Linked DNA regions of Lepisosteus oculatus. The protein of the gene in region 1 purifies or fractionates together with the protein of each later gene. This does not show direct contact. Links are inferred from orthologs where the notes say so. Each region holds a gene or a part of one and is shown on either strand. Other genes may lie near its edges. The genes, in order: ccnb2 and pkmyt1.

Region 1 (10,382 bases):
CCGAACACTGTTAATCTAATATTGCTTGAAATGTTAGCAGCATATAAAAACACAACAAATGCAGTTTTGTCCCAGCGTTCATTTGTTGCACTTTAAATGCCTCTTAGCGTAGAGAAAAGAAACACTGAGAATCTGTAAGTGACATCAGTACCAGATTGGTAGTGATTGCTCATTACAGTTTTCCTTCCCACTGTTCCTGTGCACGTCCTTCTGCCCCCTGGTGTATTAGTGTGAAATTACACCTTGTATTTCAGCATAGGTTTTTCCTTTAGATGGGGCTCTCATTGTACCCTATTATGAAATACTATTTAAGGCTATGCATTCCAGGATACATTTTAATTTTCCCAATGAGATTTTCTTCCTGTCCATTTGTGGAGAAATTATCAGTGTACCCATAGGGTGATTGGGGACCTATATGGTCAGATGCTGTTGTGGGACTGCACTTCTCATGCGCTTGCTTTCTTCTTGTTCTTTCAGACGTCTTCCCTGTATGCATCTTTTCCACCAACTGTGTGTTGACCAGTGGCTCACCACTAACAAGAAATGTCCAATCTGCAGAGTGGATATAGAGGCCCAGCTGTCTGCTGAAAGTTGATGCTGTTTTCAATTACTTTTTATTTTATCTTTTTTATTTTGTTTTTCTTCAGTACTGCAGTCAACCAAAGATGGCATGAATTACCTGCGTGGGTTCAAATACAAAACAGCATTGAAACCTAGAGTGCCAGCTATGTCCCATAGTACAGATACTGCTAAAAATACATCTTCAGTATAGATTTTAAATTTTATTGTATTTATGAAGCTTTTTTTGTAGCTTTCAATTGTTTTCTTCAGTGTCATTTTATTTTTGCATGGTTCCTTGTAATGCATTTCTTTGCACATGTAATGAAATGGGCTTCACACCCTAAAGACTTGCAGGCAAGAATAGCTGCTCTAGTAAAGTAGCATTTAATTTGATTTTGTTTTGTTTTTTTACACAATGCCTTGCTTTACTGGAATAGAATGTCATTCTCCATTACTAACATTGCAGGATTAATTTAACTGATCATGATATAATTAGTTTATGTATAGAAATTGTGAACAGCTAGTAAAGGAAAAAATGTAAAGCAAAACATTCCTTAATTAGGGAAAAACAAACAGCTGCTGTATAAAAGTCTGTGTACAACATCATGCGGTGTCCATCTAGTGGGAACAATCTGAAAATGCATCACTTATAATTAGGAAATGCATACAGAAGCCTTTTCCTTTCTTCGCTCACCTTTCAATGTTCACCTTCTGCACTTCCTTATTGCATTGGAGAAAAATGAATGTCACTGTATTTTGACTGTTTTTTTCACAGTTAGACCTTTTAAGGCACGTCGTAAACAGTTTTACACACAGTGAAGTGCCCTGTTGAGTGGCGAGGTTGGCCATTGCCAGCAGATTGTACACTTCTGTTTGTATTCACAAGTCTGAATGGACGGACCTTGGGAATTGGCGTTTTGACTTCAAATGTGAAAGGGGTCTGTTGAGCCAGTTTTCCACAGACTGGTGATAAATTGTTAAATGGAACCCTAGTTTGGCCTGTCTCATTCATCTGTCTGTCTGTGTTGGGGGCGGGGGGGGTGGACAAACTGAGCGACACAGCTCCATGGAACGCAGCAGGCCAACAGAGATTGTATTTTTTTAACTGGGTTATTGTTGATTTTTACTTCATCTCTGTAACATTGCAACAAATTCCTTTGCTGCCATGAAGAACTTAACACTAATGGTTTTCCTCAACTAGCTAAATTGCATATACTTGCACATCAATGGTGAAAGACATAAGACAGGAGTCCTGTGAAAGCAAAGTGTCTAGGTAATGTATTTCCGCTCTGATTGCTGAATTTTGAAAATTGTAACATTTTGAATGGAGTGTTGGAATGCAGTACTAATGGCAGGTATCCATGCATTCATAGACTATAATGGCCCTAGGAAGCATTTCCGAGGGATTTATATTAGTTTTAAAAAAATAAAGTTAGGTAACTCTTTCCCCTCTTGTCTTTGTGTCTCTTCAACAATGTTTTGTTCAGTATTTTATACATATTCTGAAACCATACAATCTGAACAACAGGGGAGTCGCACACTGTATTGTACAGGCGCTTGGGCCTTGAAACATGCTGGCTTACAGTCTTTCAGTAGTTTCAATGATGTATGTTTTGTGGGCAAATCTAACATGAATACAATAAATGGTTATTTCAGATGAAACTGTAATTGAGGAAAAAGGTTTTGCAGTTCTAATGTTTTTAAATGTTTCCATTATGCTAATGTGGAGTAAATGGAGTATAGAAACCTTTTTGAATTATCTACACCATTTCATTTTTTGAAGAAATTTGCTCAATCTGGATTACACCTATTTATATAATTTCCAACAGTGCTAATATGATATATAATGGTTATATACTTATAGGTTTTTTGTGGTTTTATGTCCCTTGCCTACTTAATGAAGGTTAAATTCAGTGTTTTCAAGTGGTTCTAATAAGCCCTTGTTTTGCAGATTATCTGTGCTTTGTGTAATAAAGAACTAGGTGGAAAAGGAAACAAGATGCAAATCATATTGTTCTCCCACATTTTGTTAGAGAATATGTTAATCAAAAGCTACTGAAGATACAAATTTGGAATATGAGGCTATCCTATATTGTATCTTATATGCATCCTATACCATGCAGATACCTCAACTGAAGAGCTAATGTACGAAGCACAATGTCATTATTTAGTATTTTGTACTGCTAAAGAGGTTCTTGATTATCTTAAAATGGTAGAAATGTGAATGAATGTACCAATACTAAAGTAGGTGCATAAGAGGTATAGGTCTGTATTGATAATTTTATAGCACTTTTTTTACAGGTTAGTTTTTAAGTAGAAAACAAACTCATTTTTCTAAATTAAAAGTAAAAAAAAAAACATTTAAATATCTTGTAAGAGCTCTTACCATCCTGAAAGATTTGTAACTTTTAACATCTTCAGTAAATTGCTTCATTTAATGACCAACCCTGGTACTTGAGAGCTACAGGATGTTGGCACTTTCATTTCAAGTGATCTGTGAGCATACTTAACTGAGCAAATACAGTGCCCTCAAAATCGTGATCAAAAGGAATTGTTCAGCCCCAAGTGCTTGGAAATCAAGGAGTGCCTGTTCTGAAAAAACTTGTATTCTGGCACTCCAGGACCAGGGTTGGCCACTTTATATATAGTGGTTAGTGTAGCTGGATCTAAATTGTGGTTATACATGACCAAATTATGAACAATGTGAGTTGCTATGTTGCAGAAGATATGGTTGCTGTTGGATCCAGCTAAAGAAACTAAACCAGTTTAAATCGCACAGCTGAAGAAGGCTCCACAGCCGAAACATTGTTCTGCTTTTCTTCTCTTTTAAACTGCAAGGGAACAAGTAGAAGATTATTCCATGCTGAAATTCTGGCCTTAAAGAACGGACCAGTGCTGCAATGCTATAGAAAAACTAAATCTGGAGGAAACTATTACCGGAAAGAAGAAGAAGTAAAATCATGAGAGGGAGTAGTAAAAGTCAGACAGTGTAGGATAAAATAGGGAAATGCAGAACTGAGGTTAGAGGACATTGTTAAAAGATTTTTTAAATTCAGAGAATAATCCTATGCTGCTGAACCAGATTGTCCAGGATGCTTCGAGCGAAAGCTAGAGGAGATAGAGCCAATAAGTAGTAACTAAACAAGCATTACTACAAAGGAGGGAATCCATTCTCCCATGTTTTTCTGCCATTACAGAGGTCTTCTGTTCAAACTATCCTAGAGCGTAAGAAGGTTCAAAGCAGAAGAAGGACTTTCAGCCCACCTACTCATTTGGTAGTGATCTGAGGATCTTTTCCAGCCACTGCCTGAAGAAAGCCAGTTCATGCAATATGGCTTGATAACTTGTTGTGGACTCAAAGCTGTAAAAGTGTCTTGTTCTTCATTTTAAATGCACTTCTGTGTATTTAAAACCTAATGTTTGCTCTGGTTTATGATTCCCTGGAGGTTCTGAAGCCCTGTGTTGAGTTAATGACATTCCCTACCTCTAAGGATTATAAATGAGTCAGCTTTCCTCAGTCTTTTCTATTAACAACAGCATGTTAGTAACTCATTGCTCCGAATTTCACAGATAATACTGAGTCTGTGGCATGCCCAGGATTTGATCCAGGAATTTACCTGCTCACAAACTCTTGACCTTAGCAACTGGGTCGCTTTGCCCACACATTATACCTAATAATCTTCTAAGAATTCCTATAGAATTAAGAATTGGACATAACTAGTATGAAAAGTAACTATATATACTTTGGCTATATTCAAATACTTGTGTGAAACAACTGACCCTGTATAAAAAGAGAAGATGCACTTCTGAGGCCCGTGTTTGGGTCCTTATTCTTATACTCTTTCCTAAGCATTTCTCTAATCCATTTGACACCTTTTTATTTATATCACCAACTAGTTGATGATAGTACTGCTTCTGCAATAGTGATAAATCTACACATTTCCCCATGATACAGTTTATAGGAATGAGTTCACATAAGAGGAGGTGGGGTAGTTAACATACTTCACAGCAAATTGTCAAATTCCAGTTCTGCTTTAATAAGAAAAGCCAAATTCATTGCCCCATGTATTTAAGGGACAATATGGAGAACGATCTATCCCTTTAATTTTACACGCACTGAGATTTAACTGGCCTGAAGCAAAGCTTTGACTCTTAAAGGCAGGTCATTCTCAGGTGTTACAATAATTTAAAAGTGGTTGGGAACTGCAGCCAGACAGTGCCGTAATGTGAAAAAAAACATTATCGTCCATCCATTTTTCACTGTAATTGTTGTTGGTGTGAAACTTAAACATGTAATGTATGCTTTTTCCATCTGTTCGTTTGTATGTCTTTTGCCAATAAATCCAACATGTATCACTCATTTGGTTATAAGGGTCAGTGCCTGAATCTCAGATCAGTCAAAAGCACCTTTAATATATTGCCATTGCATTGCCAGCTGCCATGTCACCCTGCAACTCACAACTAGCAGCCCACTGGAGCTCAGCAGATGTGAGCCTGGCCAGTACCTGGATGGGAGACCTCCTGGGAAAAAGCTAATGTTGCTGCAGGAAGAAGTATTAGTGGGGCCACGAGAGGGCGCTCACTCTGATCTATGTGGGTCCTAATGCCCCAGTATAGCGGTGCCGTCCTTCGGATGAGACGTAAAACTGAGGTCCTTACTCTGTGGTCGTTAAAAATCCCAGGGTGTTTCTCAAAAACGGTAGGGGTGTAACCCTGGCATCTTGACCCTTAATATAACACATTATAATGTATAATATAATAATAACATATTGGCGCTTACCGATCATGGCCTCCTAATAATCCCCATCTATGAATTGGCTTCATCACTCTGTTCTCCTCCCCACTGATAGCTGATGTGTGGTGAGTGTACTGGTGCACTATGGCTGCCATTGCATCATCTTAGTGGGGCTACACATTGGTGGTGGAGAAGGGGAGTTCCCATTACCTGTAAAGCGATTTGAGTGAAGTGTCCAGAAAAGCACTATATAAGTGTAAGCAATTATTATTATTGACCATTGACATGACAGCAGTGTTTTATAATATTGGCTTATGAGACCCATCCGTGGCTCCCTACTACACCTCTTACCTTCACCTCAATACTAATAATAGATAGATACTTTATTGATCCTGTGAGGGAAATTGCAGAATAATAAAATAAATATTATCGATCTGTATAGACGACTGGCGAAATCAACTAAAATCCATCACAGACTGGAACAGCAACCAGAACTCTGCGCCTAGTAAAACGAAACGGACCAAGAAGGCTCTACAGACTACTCGGACACAAGAGGACGAGTAAAGGAACCAGAATACATTACACGAACACTTCCAGAAAACAAGATGTAACAGGGTAGAGGTAATTGTACATAATATAGATGAGTAATTGGGTGATAGACGTAGTGATTATTTCCATAGCCCTTTTTGTTTGCTAAAAAAGAGGCGATTTGCGGAAATCACTCATTGGTTTAATATTTAATATCTTGGTAACACGCATACACATCAATATAAAATTTCGTATATTGTTATCAGGCTACCCAAGAAAAAAAACATCAATTCCCAGAGTGCATTGTGAACTCAATGCTAAACTCCGGGCACAAAAGTTGGCGCATGCTTGATTTTCTATTTTACTTTTACTTAAACGGGGGGGTACTGGTGAATAAAACGGCTGATACATCATAAAACAAAAAAGGAATCATCTGATTTAATTGCGGAGAATATGTTAGGAACATAAACAATTCATTTTTTGGTTGCCGCGGTAACGCATTCAGGCCCCTCGTTTGCCAGCCAATAGAAACCATCCGCCTCGTGAGCTCCTGCCCAATGGGAGCGCGCGGAGCGGTATTTGAATGGTGAAGTGGTGCACAGTCTACAAGCGCAGTGGCGAGTGGAGTGTTTGTGGTGTACATTTGTTGGTCGTCGGCTGTAGCTTCTTTTTTAAAGGCTCTTTTATTTAACGTTTTTCTTCAGAATGGCTTTGGTAAACCGGGGAATTGTAAGTACAATTTATTAGTTCTTTCAGCATTCCACGTTTTCCGGAGAGCCTAGGTCAGCAGCTTGTAATGTCCTTCTTCGTGAAGGAGAAGAAATGAAGCTCTTATCTGTAATATGCAATTAGCCAGCAGTTTAGTTGTCTTGCAGCTTAACTATTAAATGTAAAACTGAGATTGTAACGTACTCATTTTCAGAGGTTTGAGACATAACCCTTATCTAATTAGTTTAGGTTACCTTTAGCGTCGCCTCCGTGCTTTTGTGCGGTGCTGAGTTCTCTACTCCCGGGTTCTGACTTGCTTTTCTTTACGAGCAGCATATCAGGAATGCCGAAAACGCGGTCCCAGTGGGTAAAACTGCAGCTGGGACGAAACGGCCAGTCCTAGGCGAGATCTCCAACTTCTCTACCAGGGGAGGCCCAGTCAAGGTACTGTTGTAGCTGCGCTTTTGGGTTCTGAGCTGGGATCTGTATTTGCCGGAGCGAGTTCAAAACATATTGTAACGCTTACGGCCGACAGGCGCTGTGTAAGAGCAGATGTCACCGCCCTTCCCTGTGATGGCAGGACCACAGCTACTGGGCTGTGGGGGGATCTCTTTAGCTCACGGGGCTGGGTCGCTGCAGAGAGACGCAGGAGTCCCGGGTTCGAGCCTCAGTCGGGATGGGGCCGGCCTAATGCGGCAAGGGCGCCCACCTGAGCCCCCGTTGCGTTACAATATTCACCCCTTCTTCCGAGTGAATTGAAGCTGGGGTGGCCGTTGTCTGGCGGTTTCATCTAGTGTTTAGTTTTAATATGCACCCCTTGATATACAGCTGGGTATCTCAATGGAACAACTCTGAAGTATTTCCCCTAAGGGTATAGAAGCAGTATCTTGTGTATCTGTGCCCTATCCACTGCTGCCCAGTGCTTCTTCCACAGTGTTGTGAGTGTTTGCTCAAGACAGGGGTGCACAGCTGTAGTCCTGAAGGGCCAGATGGCTCAAATGGAAGTGTGTGTGTGGGGGGGGGGGAGGACTCTGTTTAGGTTGGTGCTTTGCCAATTTAGAGCCTTAAGTGTGCTGGGCAGGAGTTGTGATTATTTGGGCTAGATGGGGGTGGGGCAACTGGTTTACTTTTGTTTTGGTGTCGCATTAGGTACCATGAAAATACTCTTGTATTATTGAGCATTATGTTGCTGGTTTTGAAGAGTGCTTTGTTCCAAACCCTCCTTTCTATGAACTGTAGAAAAATGACACCCTGAAGTCCCATGTGGTCAAGCAGTCAAAGCCAGTGAAGCCTAAGCAGCAGGATGAAGTGACTGTGCAGCCCAAACCAGGTCCAGTGGTGCCTGAAGTCCCAGTAAGTGACAGGGTTGTTTAATGTCTTGTGTCACAGAAATGACTGCATTGTACCTTTTACAAGCATCTAGTCCCTTATGGCTACAGGTGGATTAGAAGTGCTGCAAGCTTCTGTTGGGGAAGCTTTTTTTTTTTAAGTGAGTCCACAAACCTGAACCATTGGTATGATTGCAAAACATCCACAGTTGGGGGAGGAATTGACTGAGTGTCACAGGCTACCAATGTGTATGTATTGTAAGCAATACAAGATGTACACAGTTCTCTCTATGATTGAGTGTGATTCACTTGGGCTGATCTGCCAATTTTCCTGAAGAGCTTTGACATGCACTTGCCTGCACTCTGGTGCACAAGGCATATCCCCTGTCATCCTGCCCTTGCAGGAACTGTTGCATGGGTACAAGCCCTGCTGGGTCAGGATATACCTGCATGTAGACCATTGCTGTTTGTCATGAATGGTGAAGTTTTGTAGTGTCTAGTAAATGGTACTAGAAACTCCCTAATAGGAGTTCAAAGTGCCTCATTATTTTGAAACTGGGGGGGGGGGGGATTCTTCAGACAACTCTGTAGTTCTAAGATCAAATATAGCCACTGTGCTGGCTCTGCCTGCTCTTCTTACTGAAAGACTTGCATAGTGCGCTGATGACTGGCTTTAAATAACACACCTTCAGGTTGTTCCTTCTTGCATGGACGTCTCGATGAAAGAGGAAGAGCTGTGCCAGGCTTTTTCTGAGGCTATGTTGGATATAGAAGACATTGATGCCTTGGATGGTGAACATCCCCAGCTGTGTTCTGAATACGTGAAGGACATCTATGTGTACTTAAAGCAAATTGAGGTAAAAATTATAACCTTGTTAATCCTGATTCACAAATTTATTACTGCTGCTTGTTGGCTATTCATCTCATTTTCTTGCTGGATCTGAGAAACTAAGCATGACTGGGCCTTCAGGGAAACTGTGCTTCAGTGACTGGGCATCCTGTATCTAAAGGACCCACAAGTGCCTTTATAAGTTAATCTTTCCTTTTTTTTCTTTACTGCAGCTCCAGCAGGCTATCCGCCCCAGGTATCTTGAGGGCTGTGAGATTAATGAAAGAATGCGGGCCCTCTTGGTTGACTGGCTCATTCAGGTGCACTGCAGGTTTCACCTGCTGCAGGAGACTCTGTACATGACTGTTGCTATTCTTGACCGATTTCTCCAAGTAAGCAGCTTTTTTTTGCTAAGATGGTCAGCCCTTCTAAATTCTAATGTGTTGAGTGAGTATCCTCAAATGTAACCCTTTTTTTCCCCTAAAGGTACAACCTGTCTCCAGGAAAAAGCTTCAGCTGGTTGGCGTTACTGCTATGTTAATTGCTGCCAAGTATGAAGAAATGTACGCCCCAGAGATTGGGGACTTTGTCTACATCACGGATAATGCTTTCTCTAAAGCACAGATCCGGCAAATGGAAATGCTGATCCTGAAAGAGCTGAATTTTGAACTGGGTCGTCCTCTGCCCCTTCACTTCCTAAGGAGGGCATCAAAGGCTGGCAATGTAATTACCTTCCACTTGTCCCTGAAATGCACAAACCTCCTCGGTGCAATGCGTTTCTTCTTTGGCTGTATTTCTCCCTCCTAGTGTGTAACTGCTTTGTCATTTCCAAGGCTGATGCAGAGAAACACACTCTTGCCAAGTACTTCATGGAGCTGACCCTGATGGATTATGACATGGTGCATTACCACCCTTCTGAAGTGGCAGCTGCTGCACTCTTCCTCTCCCAGACTGTGCTGGATGGTAGTAGTTGGGTATGTTTTTGTTAATCTTTTGTATTCGCACTACTATAATATTGGAAATGAAGGTTACTTCCACAAACCCCGAGTGATGTAAGTGCTAGAGTGTGAGATCCTTTCCAATATACATGCTCTGCTTAATCTGTAAAGCAGATATGCAGTGACAAAACTGCATGTTTGATCCTCTGTCACTAACTATGAATGGCTTGTATACACTTCTGGATTCTTGGCAATGCTTAAGAGCGGCAGGTATCTCTTCCAGACCACAACGCAGCGCCATTATGCTGGTTATTCCGAAGAGAATCTCAAGACCATTATGCAGCACCTTGCCAAGAATGTGGTGAGGCTTAACAATGGGCTTACCAAGCACACTGTAAGTTCTGTCCTATCCTTGTCACAAACTAGGATTCTAATGTACTTTCCACTTCATGCTATTGTTACCGTAGACCTAAACTAAGTACATTGTGGGCTTGATACCCGAGGATCTGAACTCCTCCCTGAGCTGGGTTTCTTCTTTCCTGTACAGGCAATCAAGAACAAATATGCCAGCAGCAAGCTGCTGAGGATAAGCACCATTCCACAGCTCCGGTCCTCCACCATCCAGGACATGGCTGCACCCCTGTTGGAGAATTCTTAATACTACTTGTCTTATGGACTTCTGAACTTGTTGCACTTTTTTTAAACTCCAACCTGTGGAAGATTTGTGCTGCTTCAATCTTTAACTTTTTTTTTCC
Region 2 (10,769 bases), on another chromosome or scaffold:
AGACAGAGTGGCCCATCAGGAGGTGTGGAGTCAGGAGAGCTGAGGAGAGCTGTGTGAGAGGAGGAGCAGGAGGAGGGGGCAGGGGACAGACAGAGAGGCCCATCAGGAGGTGTGGAGTCAGGAGAGCTGTGTGAGAGGAGGAGCAGGAGGAGGGCGCAGGGGACAGACAGAGTGGCCCATCAGGAGGTGTGGAGTCAGGAGAGGTGAGGAGAGCTGTGTGAGAGGAGGAGCAGGAGGAGGGCGCAGGGGACAGACAGAGTGGCCCATCAGGAGGTGTGGAGTCAGGAGAGCTGTGTGAGAGGAGGAGCAGGAGGAGGGAGCAGGGGACAGACAGAGAGGCCCATCAGGAGGTGTGGAGTCAGGAGAGCTGTGTGAGAGGAGGAGCAGGAGGAGGGAGCAGGGGACAGACAGAGAGGCCCATCAGGAGGTGTGGAGTCAGGAGAGCTGAGGAGAGCTGTGTGAGAGGAGGAGCAGGAGGAGGGCGCAGGGGACAGACAGAGTGGCCCATCAGGAGGTGTGGAGTCAGGAGAGCTGTGTGAGAGGAGGAGCAGGAGGAGGGAGCAGGGGACAGACAGAGAGGCCCATCAGGAGGTGTGGAGTCAGGAGAGGAGAGGAGAGCTGTGTGAGAGGAGGAGCAGGAGGAGGGAGCAGGGGACAGACAGAGAGGCCCATCAGGAGGTGTGGAGTCAGGAGAGCTGTGTGAGAGGAGGAGCAGGAGGAGGGAGCAGGGGACAGACAGAGTGGCCCTCAGGGAGGTGTGGAGTCAGGAGAGGTGAGGAGAGCTGTGTGTGAGGAGGAGCAGGAGGAGGGAGCAGGGGACAGACAGAGTGGCCCATCAGGAGCTGCTCGGACCACAGAGCTGTCTCTGACGATCACGATGACTTAGCCCTCTGGCATCGCGGCTGCCCGACACAGCTCACAGCGAGCTGTGCCCCCGGCTGCTCGGCCACAGAGCTGTCTCTGACGATCACGATGACTTAGCCCTCTGGCATCGCGGCTGCCCCCCAGCAGGATGGGAAGGACAGCACGTCGCAGGTGAGGACTCGGGGCTCCGAGAGGTCACTCTCGTGGGCCAAGACCTCCGGAGGAAGACGGATAGTAAACTCCATCGTCAGTGGACGCCACGTGGATGAATAAACACGATCGCTGTCGGTATGAACACGCGTGGGGCGGCTGAGGGGCCCCTGGAGCAGGACACTGGGACTGGGGGCGATATTAGGGGGGAGATCCAGACTCCTGCTCGCTCCTCTCCGCAGGGCTGCAGGACAGAACTGGTCCAGTTGGGAATCACGACTCACGCAGACTCACGGGCCGGGCCGGACAGTGGTCAGAGTCCTGAACCCCGTCCGGCAGATGTGTGAGACACACAGACACACTGAGACACACAGGCACACTGAGACACACAGACACACTGAGACACACAGAGACACACAGAGACACACAGAGACACACAGAGACACACAGAGACAGAAACACACAGAAACACTGAGACAGACACTCAGACACAGACACACACTGACACACAGAAACACTGAGACAGACACACAGACACACTGAGACACAGACACACACCGAGACACACAGAAACACAGACACACACCGAGACACACAGAGACACACAGAAACACTCAGACACACACTGACACACTCAGACACTCAGACACACACTGACACACACTGACACACACTGACACTCAGACACTCAGACACTCAGACACTCAGACACACACAGACACACACTGACACACACAGACACTCAGACACTCAGACACTCAGACACTCAGACACACACTGACACACACTGACACACTCAGACACTCGGACACTCGGACACTCGGACACACTCGGACACACTCGGACACACAGGGAGCAGCTGTGCGGGCGGGGACTCGCTATTTCGCTGCTGCTGCGGTAGCAGAAGCGATGACACGGTGGCGGTGTGCGTGGGGAGGCAGTATTTGTCTTCCCCGGGGTACTTGCAGCTGGGATAAGGAGCCTGAGCACAGACACCAGACAGCGCGCCTGTGAATCTCTTCCTCCTGCAGAAGGCGCGGGGGCGGGGTCGACCCTCGCTCCGGGTCAAATCTCTCTTTATGGCAGCAAGGAGGCGGGTCCTGCAGCGCGCCCCTTCCTTATATGGCGGAACGGGGAGGAACCCTGGCGAGGAGGCGCGGCCTGTCCGGCATTGACGACGCGACTGCGTCATGAATATGCATAGAGGGCGGGGACTCGGGGCGGGTTGCGCGGTAACCGGGGGGAAAGTCGCGTGTTTTGGCGCCAGGAGCTGCGGTCGGTCCGGGTGACTGGTGGAGATACTGGGCCACCAGCGGGGTGACTGGTGGAGATACTGGCGGTGTTACCGCGAGTGCTGACTCGCTCCCAGCTCGGACTCTGTTGCACGCCGGAGTCCGGAGTTTCCTGCTCATGTTGACAGAGACGGCAGGTGAGAGATTACTGTGTGTGTGAGTGTGTTACTGTGTGTGTGTGTGTGAGTGTGTGAGTGAGTGTGTGTCGGAGTGTGTGAGTGAGAGATTTCAGAGAGGTTATATCGAGCTGTGTGTGTCAGTGTGTTACTGTGTGTGTGTGAGAGAGAGTGAGTGTGTGAGTGAGAGATTTCAGAGAGGTTATATCGAGCTGTGTGTGTCAGTGTGTGACTGTGTGTGTGTGTCAGTGTGTTACTGTGTTATTGTGTGTGTCGGAGTGTGTGAGTGACATTTCAGAGTGAGGTTATATCGAGCTGTGTGTGTGTCAGTGTGTTACTGTGTGTAGTAGTGTGTGTGTCGTACTGTGTGTGTCAGTAGGGAGAGTCTAAAGCTTTGAAGTCCAAAGAGTTATTAATGCAGAAATAATCCTGCTGGACTCTGAGTCCCCCTGTCCTGTGTCCTGTGTCTCCTGCTGGACTCTGAGTCCCCCTGTCCTGTGTCCTGTGTCTCCTGCTGTGCTCTGAGTCGTCCTGTTCTGTGTCCTGTGTCTCCTGCTGGGCTCCGAGACCCCCTGTCCTGTGTCTCCTGCTGCACTCTGAGTCCCCCTGTCCTGTGTCCTGTGTCTCCTGCTGGACTCTGAGTCCCCCTGTCCTGTGTCCTGTGTCTCCAGGATGGACTCTTGAGTCCCCCTGTCCTGTGTCTCCTGCTGCACTCTGAGTCGCCCTGTCCTGTGTCCTGTGTCTCCTGCTGTGCTCTGAGTCGTCCTGTTCTGTGTCCTGTGTCTCCTGCTGGGCTCCGAGGCCCCCTGTCCTGTGTCTCCTGCTGCACTCTGAGTCCCCCTGTCCTGTGTCCTGTGTCTTCTGCTGGGCTCCGAGTCCCCCTGTCCTGTGTCTCCTGCTGCACTCTGAGTCGCCCTGTTCTGTGTCCTGTGTCTCCTGCTGTGCTCTGAGTCGTCCTGTTCTGTGTCCTGTGTCTCCTGCTGGGCTCCGAGTCCCCCTGTCCTGTGTCTCCTGCTGCACTCTGAGTCCCCCTGTCCTGTGTCCTGTGTCTCCTGCTGGGCTCCGAGTCCCCCTCTCCTGTGTCTCCTGCTGCACTCTGAGTCACCCTGTTCTGTGTCCTGTGTCTCCTGCTGTGCTCTGAGTCCCCCTGTCCTGTGTCCTGTGTCTCCTGCTGGGCTCAGAGTCCCCCTGTCCTGTGTCTCCTGCTGTGCTCTGAGTCACCCTGTTCTGTGTCCTGTGTCTCCTGCTGTGCTCTGAGTCGTCCTGTTCTGTGTCCTGTGTCTCCTGCTGGGCTCCGAGTCCCCCTGTCCTGTGTCTCCTGCTGCACTCTGAGTCCCCCTGTCCTGTGTCCTGTGTCTCCTGCTGGGCTCCGAGTCCCCCTCTCCTGTGTCTCCTGCTGCACTCTGAGTCACCCTGTTCTGTGTCCTGTGTCTCCTGCTGTGCTCTGAGTCCCCCTGTCCTGTGTCCTGTGTCTCCTGCTGGGCTCAGAGTCCCCCTGTCCTGTGTCTCCTGCTGTGCTCTGAGTCACCCTGTTCTGTGTCCTGTGTCTCCTGCTGTGCTCTGAGTCCCCCTGTCCTGTGTCCTGTGTCTCCTGCTGGGCTCAGAGTCCCCCTGTCCTGTGTCTCCTGCTGCACTCTGAGTCGCCCTGTTCTGTGTCCTGTGTCTCCTGCTGTGCTCTGAGTCGTCCTGTTCTGTGTCCTGTGTCTCCTGCTGGGCTCCGAGTCCCCCTGTCCTGTGTCTCCTGCTGCACTCTGAGTCCCCCTGTCCTGTGTCCTGTGTCTCCTGCTGGACTCTGAGTCCCCCTGTCCTGTGTCCTGTGTCTCCTGCTGGACTCTGAGTCCCCCTGTCCTGTGTCCTGTGTCTCCAGGATGGACTCTTGAGTCCCCCTGTCCTGTGTCTCCTGCTGCACTCTGAGTCGCCCTGTTCTGTGTCCTGTGTCTCCTGCTGTGCTCTGAGTCGTCCTGTTCTGTGTCCTGTGTCTCCTGCTGGGCTCCGAGTCCCCCTGTCCTGTGTCTCCTGCTGCACTCTGAGTCCCCCTGTCCTGTGTCCTGTGTCTCCTGCTGGGCTCCGAGTCCCCCTCTCCTGTGTCTCCTGCTGCACTCTGAGTCACCCTGTTCTGTGTCCTGTGTCTCCTGCTGTGCTCTGAGTCCCCCTGTCCTGTGTCCTGTGTCTCCTGCTGGGCTCAGAGTCCCCCTGTCCTGTGTCTCCTGCTGTGCTCTGAGTCACCCTGTTCTGTGTCCTGTGTCTCCTGCTGTGCTCTGAGTCCCCCTGTCCTGTGTCCTGTGTCTCCTGCTGGGCTCAGAGTCCCCCTGTCCTGTGTCTCCTGCTGTGCTCTGAGTCGCCCTGTTCTGTGTCCTGTGTCTCCTGCTGTGCTCCTAGTCCCCCTGTCCTGTGTCTCCTGATGGACTCTGTGCTGTACACTGTCAGCTGGAAATTAGCTCATTTACAGAGGAGACCTCTGGCTCAGTGTGCCTGGATGGGTAGAGAGACTGCAGACCCTGCGCTGTGAGCTGTGACTTGTCCTCTGTCTCCGCAGGAGGCCTGGAGGCCCAGATGTCTGCTGTTCACTGTGAAGTCTCTCCCATCAGCCCTGCCAGAGTCTCTCTCCCATCAGCCTCCCTCCTCTGTCATAGTGTTATTATAGACTCTGTAATGCCTCTTGGCTGTATATATCAGGAATTTTGCGAACCTATGGAACAATACAGCTCTCTAGACCCCTGTATACTGCTGTAGAGACCTGCTCTATAAACACCTGAAGAACCGGAGTCTGCAGTCAGTCTGTCCCTCGCCTGCGCAGTCCCTGCAGTCAGTCTGTCCTGCCCTCGCCTGCGCAGTCCCTGCAGTCAGTCTGTCCTGCCCTCGCCTGCGCAGTCCCTTCAGTCAGTCTGTCCCTCGCCTGCGCAGTCCCTGCAGTCAGTCTGTCCTGCCCTCACCTGCGCAGTCCTGCAGTCAGTCTGTCCTGCCCTCACCTGCGCAGTCCCTGCAGTCAGTCTGTCCTGCCCTCACCTGCGCAGTCCCTGCAGTCAGTCTGTCCTGCCCTCGCCTGCGCAGTCCCTTCAGTCAGTCTGTCCCTCGCCTGCGCAGTCCCTGCAGTCAGTCTGTCCTGCCCTCACCTGCGCAGTCCTGCAGTCAGTCTGTCCTGCCCTCACCTGCGCAGTCCCTGCAGTCAGTCTGTCCTGCCCTCACCTGCGCAGTCCCTGCAGTCAGTCTGTCCTGCCCTCACCTGCGCAGTCCCTGCAGTCAGTCTGTCCTGCCCTCGCCTGCGCAGTCCCTTCAGTCAGTCTGTCCCTCGCCTGCGCAGTCCCTGCAGTCAGTCTGTCCTGCCCTCACCTGCGCAGTCCCTGCAGTCAGTCTGTCCTTCCCTCGCCTGCGCAGTCCCTGCAGTCAGTCTGTCCTGCCCTCGCCTGCGCAGTCCCTGCAGTCCTGTTGCTCGCCCCTGTGTCCTCGCCTGCGCAGTCCCTTCAGTCAGTCTGTCCTGCCCTCACCTGCGCAGTCCCTTCAGTCAGTCTGTCCCTCGCCTGCGCAGTCCCTGCAGTCAGTCTGTCCCTCGCCTGCGCAGTCCCTGCAGTCAGTCTGTCCTGCCCTCACCTGCGCAGTCCCTGCAGTCAGTCTGTCCTTCCCTCGCCTGCGCAGTCCCTGCAGTCAGTCTGTCCTGCCCTCACCTGCGCAGTCCCTGCAGTCAGTCTGTCCTGCCCTCGCCTGCGCAGTCCCTTCAGTCAGTCTGTCCCTCGCCTGCGCAGTCCCTGCAGTCAGTCTGTCCTGCCCTCACCTGCGCAGTCCCTGCAGTCAGTCTGTCCTTCCCTCGCCTGCGCAGTCCCTGCAGTCAGTCTGTCCTTCCCTCGCCTGCGCAGTCCCTGCAGTCAGTCTGTCCTGCCCTCGCCTGCGCAGTCCCTGCAGTCAGTCTGTCCTTCCCTCCCCTGCGCAGTCCCTGCAGTCAGTCTGTCCTGCCCTCCCCTGCGCAGTCCCTGCAGTCAGTCTGTCCCTCGCCTGCGCAGTCCCTGCTGTCAGTCTGTCCCTCGCCTGCGCAGTCCCTGCAGTCCTGTTGCTCGCCCCTGTGTCCTCGCCTGCGCAGTCCCTGCAGTCCTGTTGCTCGCCCCTGTGCCCTCGCCTGCGCAGTCCCTGCAGTCCTGTTGCTCGCCCCTGTGTCCTCGCCTGCGCAGTCCCTGCAGTCCTGTTGCTCGCCCCTGTGTCCTCGCCTGCGCAGTCCCTGCAGTCCTGTTGCTCGCCCCTGTGTCCATGCCGGTCCCGCGGGAGACGCAGCTGTCCTCCCCGCCTCTCCCTGTTCCTGCCTTCTTCAGCCAGGCGGAGCAGAGCTTCTCCCTGAAGAAGAGGCGCCCGCAGCCAGACTCCTCCTCCTCCTCCTCTTCCCCTCCGCCCCTGTCCCGCTCCCTGCCCCCCCGGCCCCCCTGCAAGGGCGCCCCCCCCCTCAGCCGGGTGTTCCCCCAGCGGGTGCCCTCCTGGAGCCACCCCCGCCCCCGGCCGGTGTCCCTGGCCCTGCTGCCCCCCCGCCAGCTGCCCTCCTCCCAGTACAACCCCAGCAGCCCCCAGTCCTACTTCCAGCAGTGCTTCTCCTGCCTGGGCCTGCTGGGCAGGGGCTCCTTCGGGGAGGTGTTCAAGGTGAGGGGGTACAGCCCTGAGGGGGTCAGAGGGGAGGTGTTCAAGGTGAGGGGGTACAGTCCTGAGGGGGTCAGAGGGGAGGTGTTCAAGGTGAGGGGGTTCAGTCCTGAGGGGGTCAGAGGGGAGGTGTTCAAGGTGAGGGGGTACAGTCCTGAGGGGCTCCTTCGGGGAGGTGTTCAAGGTGAGGGGGTACAGTCCTGAGGGGGTCAGAGGGGAGGTGTTCAAGGTGAGGGGGTACAGTCCTGAGGGGGTACAGTCCTGAGGGGGTCAGAGGGGAGGTGTTCAAGGTGAAGGGGGTACAGTCCTGAGGGGGTCAGAGGGGAGGTGTTCAAGGTGAGGGGGTACAGTCCTGAGGGGGTACAGTCCTGAGGGGGTCAGAGGGGAGGTGTTCAAGGTGAGGGGGTCAGAGGGGAGGTGTTCAAGGTGAGGGGGTACAGTCCTGAGGGGGTCAGAGGGGAGGTGTTCAAGGTGAGGGGGTACAGTCCTGAGGGGTACAGTCCTGAGGGGGTCAGAGGGGAGGTGTTCAAGGTGAGGGGGTACAGTCCTGAGGGGGTCAGAGGGGAGGTGTTCAAGGTGAGGGGGTACAGTCCTGAGGGGGTCAGAGGGGAGGTGTTCAAGGTGAGGGGGTACAGTCCTGAGGGGGTCAGAGGGGAGGTGTTCAAGGTGAGAGGGGGTACAGTCCTGAGGGGGTCAGAGGGGAGGTGTTCAAGGTGAGGGGGTACAGTCCTGAGGGGGTCAGAGGTGAGGTGTTCAAGGTGAGGGGGTACAGTCCTGAGGGGGTCAGAGGGGAGGTGTTCAAGGTGAGGGGGTACAGTCCTGAGGGGGTCAGAGGGGAGGTGTTCAAGGTGAGGGGGTACAGTCCTGAGGGGGTCAGAGGGGAGGTGTTCAAGGTGAGGGGGTACAGTCCTGAGGGGGTCAGAGGGGAGGTGTTCAAGGTGAGGGGGTACAGTCCTGAGGGGGTCAGAGGGGAGGTGTTCAAGGTGAGGGGGTACAGCCCTGAGGGGGTACAGTCCTGAGGGGGTCAGAGGGGAGGTGTTCAAGGTGAGGGGGTACAGTCCTGAGGGGGTCAGAGGGGAGGTGTTCAAGGTGAGAGGGGGTACAGTCCTGAGGGGCTCCTTCGGGGAGGTGTTCAAGGTGAGGGGGTACAGTCCTGAGGGGGTCAGAGGGGAGGTGTTCAAGGTGAGGGGGTACAGTCCTGAGGGGGTCAGAGGGGAGGTGTTCAAGGTGAGAGGGGGTACAGTCCTGAGGGGGTCAGAGGGGAGGTGTTCAAGGTGAGAGGGGGTACAGTCCTGAGGGGGTCAGAGGGGAGGTGTTCAAGGTGAGGGGGTACAGTCCTGAGGGGGTCAGAGGGGAGGTGTTCAAGGTGAGGGGGTACAGTCCTGAGGGGGTCAGAGGGGAGGTGTTCAAGGTGAGAGGGGGTACAGTCCTGAGGGGGTCAGAGCGGAGGTGTTCAAGGTGAGGGGGTACAGTCCTGAGGGGGTACAGTCCTGAGGGGGTCAGAGGGGAGGTGTTCAAGGTGAGGGGGTACAGTCCTGAGGGGGTCAGAGGGGAGGTGTTCAAGGTGAGGGGGTACAGTACTGAGGGGGTCAGAGGGGAGGTGTTCAAGGTGAGAGGGGGTACAGTCCTGAGGGGCTCCTTCGGGGAGGTGTTCAAGGTGAGGGGGTACAGTCCTGAGGGGGTCAGAGGGGAGGTGTTCAAGGTGAGGGGGTACAGTCCTGAGGGGGTCAGAGGGGAGGTGTTCAAGGTGAGAGGGGGTACAGCACTGAGGGGCTCCTTCGGGGAGGTGTTCAAGGTGAGGGGGTACAGTCCTGAGGGGGTCAGAGGGGAGGTGTTCAAGGTGAGGGGGTACAGTCCTGAGGGGGTCAGAGGGGAGGTGTTCAAGGTGAGGGGGTACAGTCCTGAGGGGGTCAGAGGGGAGGTGTTCAAGGTGAGAGGGGGTACAGTCCTGAGGGGGTCAGAGGGGAGGTGTTCAAGGTGAGGGGGTACAGTCCTGAGGGGCTCCTTCGGGGAGGTGTTCAAGGTGAGGGGGTACAGTCCTGAGGGGGTCAGAGGGGAGGTGTTCAAGGTGAGGGGGTACAGTCCTGAGGGGGTACAGTCCTGAGGGGGTCAGAGGGGAGGTGTTCAAGGTGAGAGGGGGTACAGTCCTGAGGGGGTCAGAGGGGAGGTGTTCAAGGTGAGGGGGTACAGTCCTGAGGGGGTCAGAGGGGAGGTGTTCAAGGTGAGGGGGTACAGTCCTGAGGGGGTCAGAGGGGAGGTGTTCAAGGTGAGGGGGTACAGTCCTGAGGGGGTCAGAGGGGAGGTGTTCAAGGTGAGAGGGGGTACAGCACTGAGGGGCTCCTTCGGGGAGGTGTTCAAGGTGAGGGGGTACAGTCCTGAGGGGGTCAGAGGGGAGGTGTTCAAGGTGAGGGGGTACAGTCCTGAGGGGGTCAGAGGGGAGGTGTTCAAGGTGAGGGGGTACAGTCCTGAGGGGGTCAGAGGGGAGGTGTTCAAGGTGAGAGGGGGTACAGTCCTGAGGGGGTCAGAGGGGAGGTGTTCAAGGTGAGGGGGTACAGTCCTGAGGGGCTCCTTCGGGGAGGTGTTCAAGGTGAGGGGGTACAGTCCTGAGGGGGTCAGAGGGGAGGTGTTCAAGGTGAGGGGGTACAGTCCTGAGGGGGTACAGTCCTGAGGGGGTCAGAGGGGAGGTGTTCAAGGTGAGGGGGTACAGTCCTGAGGGGGTCAGAGGGGAGGTGTTCAAGGTGAGGGGGTTCAGTCCTGAGGGGGTCAGAGGGGAGGTGTTCAAGGTGAGGGGGTTCAGTCCTGAGGGGGTCAGAGGGGAGGTGTTCAAGGTGAGGGGGTACAGTCCTGAGGGGGTCAGAGGGGAGGTGTTCAAGGTGAGGGGGTACAGTCCTGAGGGGGTACAGTCCTGAGGGGGTCAGAGGGGAGGTGTTCAAGGTGAGGGGGTACAGTCCTGAGGGGGTCAGAGGGGAGGTGTTCAAGGTGAGAGGGGGTACAGTCCTGAGGGGCTCCTTCGGGGAGGTGTTCAAGGTGAGGGGGTACAGTCCTGAGGGGGTCAGAGGGGAGGTGTTCAAGGTGAGGGGGTACAGTCCTGAGGGGGTCAGAGGGGAGGTGTTCAAGGTGAGAGGGGGTACAGTCCTGAGGGGGTCAGAGGGGAGGTGTTCAAGGTGAGGGGGTACAGTCCTGAGGGGGTCAGAGGGGAGGTGTTCAAGGTGAGGGGGTACAGTCCTGAGGGGGTCAGAGGGGAGGTGTTCAAGGTGAGGGGGTACAGTCCTGAGGGGGTACAGTCCTGAGGGGGTCAGAGGGGAGGTGTTCAAGGTGAGGGGGTACAGTCCTGAGGGGGTCAGAGGGGAGGTGTTCAAGGTGAGAGGGGGTACAGTCCTGAGGGGGTCAGAGGGGAGGTGTTCAAGGTGAGGGGGTACAGTCCTGAGGGGGTCAGAGGGGAGGTGTTCAAGGTGAGGGGGTACAGTACTGAGGGGGTCAGAGGGGAGGTGTTTAAGGTGAGAGGGGGTACAGTCCTGAGGGGGTCAGAGGGGAGGTGTTCAAGGTGAGGGGGTACAGTCCTGAGGGGGTCAGAGGGGAAGTGTTCAAGGTGAGGGGGTACAGTCCTGAGGGGGTCAGAGGGGAGGTGTTCAAGGTGAGAGGGGGTACAGTCCTGAGGGGGTCAGAGGGGAGGTGTTCAAGGTGAGAGGGGGTACAGTCCTGAGGGGGTCAGAGGGGAGGTGTTCAAGGTGAG

The links.
Region 2: the proteins of ccnb2 (region 1) and pkmyt1 purify together in Homo sapiens (affinity purification with mass spectrometry; 4 studies listed by BioGRID and IntAct, with this or other methods). This does not show direct contact. The link is inferred for Lepisosteus oculatus from reciprocal best matches to the Homo sapiens genes CCNB2 and PKMYT1.

Annotation. Positions count from the first base shown.
Region 1 is NC_090700.1:46,453,502-46,463,883, forward strand, and holds the start of ccnb2 (G2/mitotic-specific cyclin-B2), read left to right. Parts: upstream 1-6,414; 5' UTR 6,415-6,529; coding exon 6,530-6,553; intron 6,554-6,865; coding exon 6,866-6,976; intron 6,977-7,771; coding exon 7,772-7,885; intron 7,886-8,552; coding exon 8,553-8,717; intron 8,718-8,922; coding exon 8,923-9,081; intron 9,082-9,175; coding exon 9,176-9,412; intron 9,413-9,522; coding exon 9,523-9,663; intron 9,664-9,910; coding exon 9,911-10,021; intron 10,022-10,174; coding exon 10,175-10,285; 3' UTR 10,286-10,382. Other genes in the region: rnf111 (E3 ubiquitin-protein ligase Arkadia), read left to right, coding at 478-595. UniProt on the Homo sapiens protein: Essential for the control of the cell cycle at the G2/M (mitosis) transition.
Region 2 is NC_090699.1:1,216,236-1,227,004, reverse strand, and holds the start of pkmyt1 (membrane-associated tyrosine- and threonine-specific cdc2-inhibitory kinase), read left to right. Parts: upstream 1-6,658; coding exon 6,659-7,039; intron 7,040-10,769. UniProt on the Homo sapiens protein: Acts as a negative regulator of entry into mitosis (G2 to M transition) by phosphorylation of the CDK1 kinase specifically when CDK1 is complexed to cyclins. Mediates phosphorylation of CDK1 predominantly on 'Thr-14'. Also involved in Golgi fragmentation.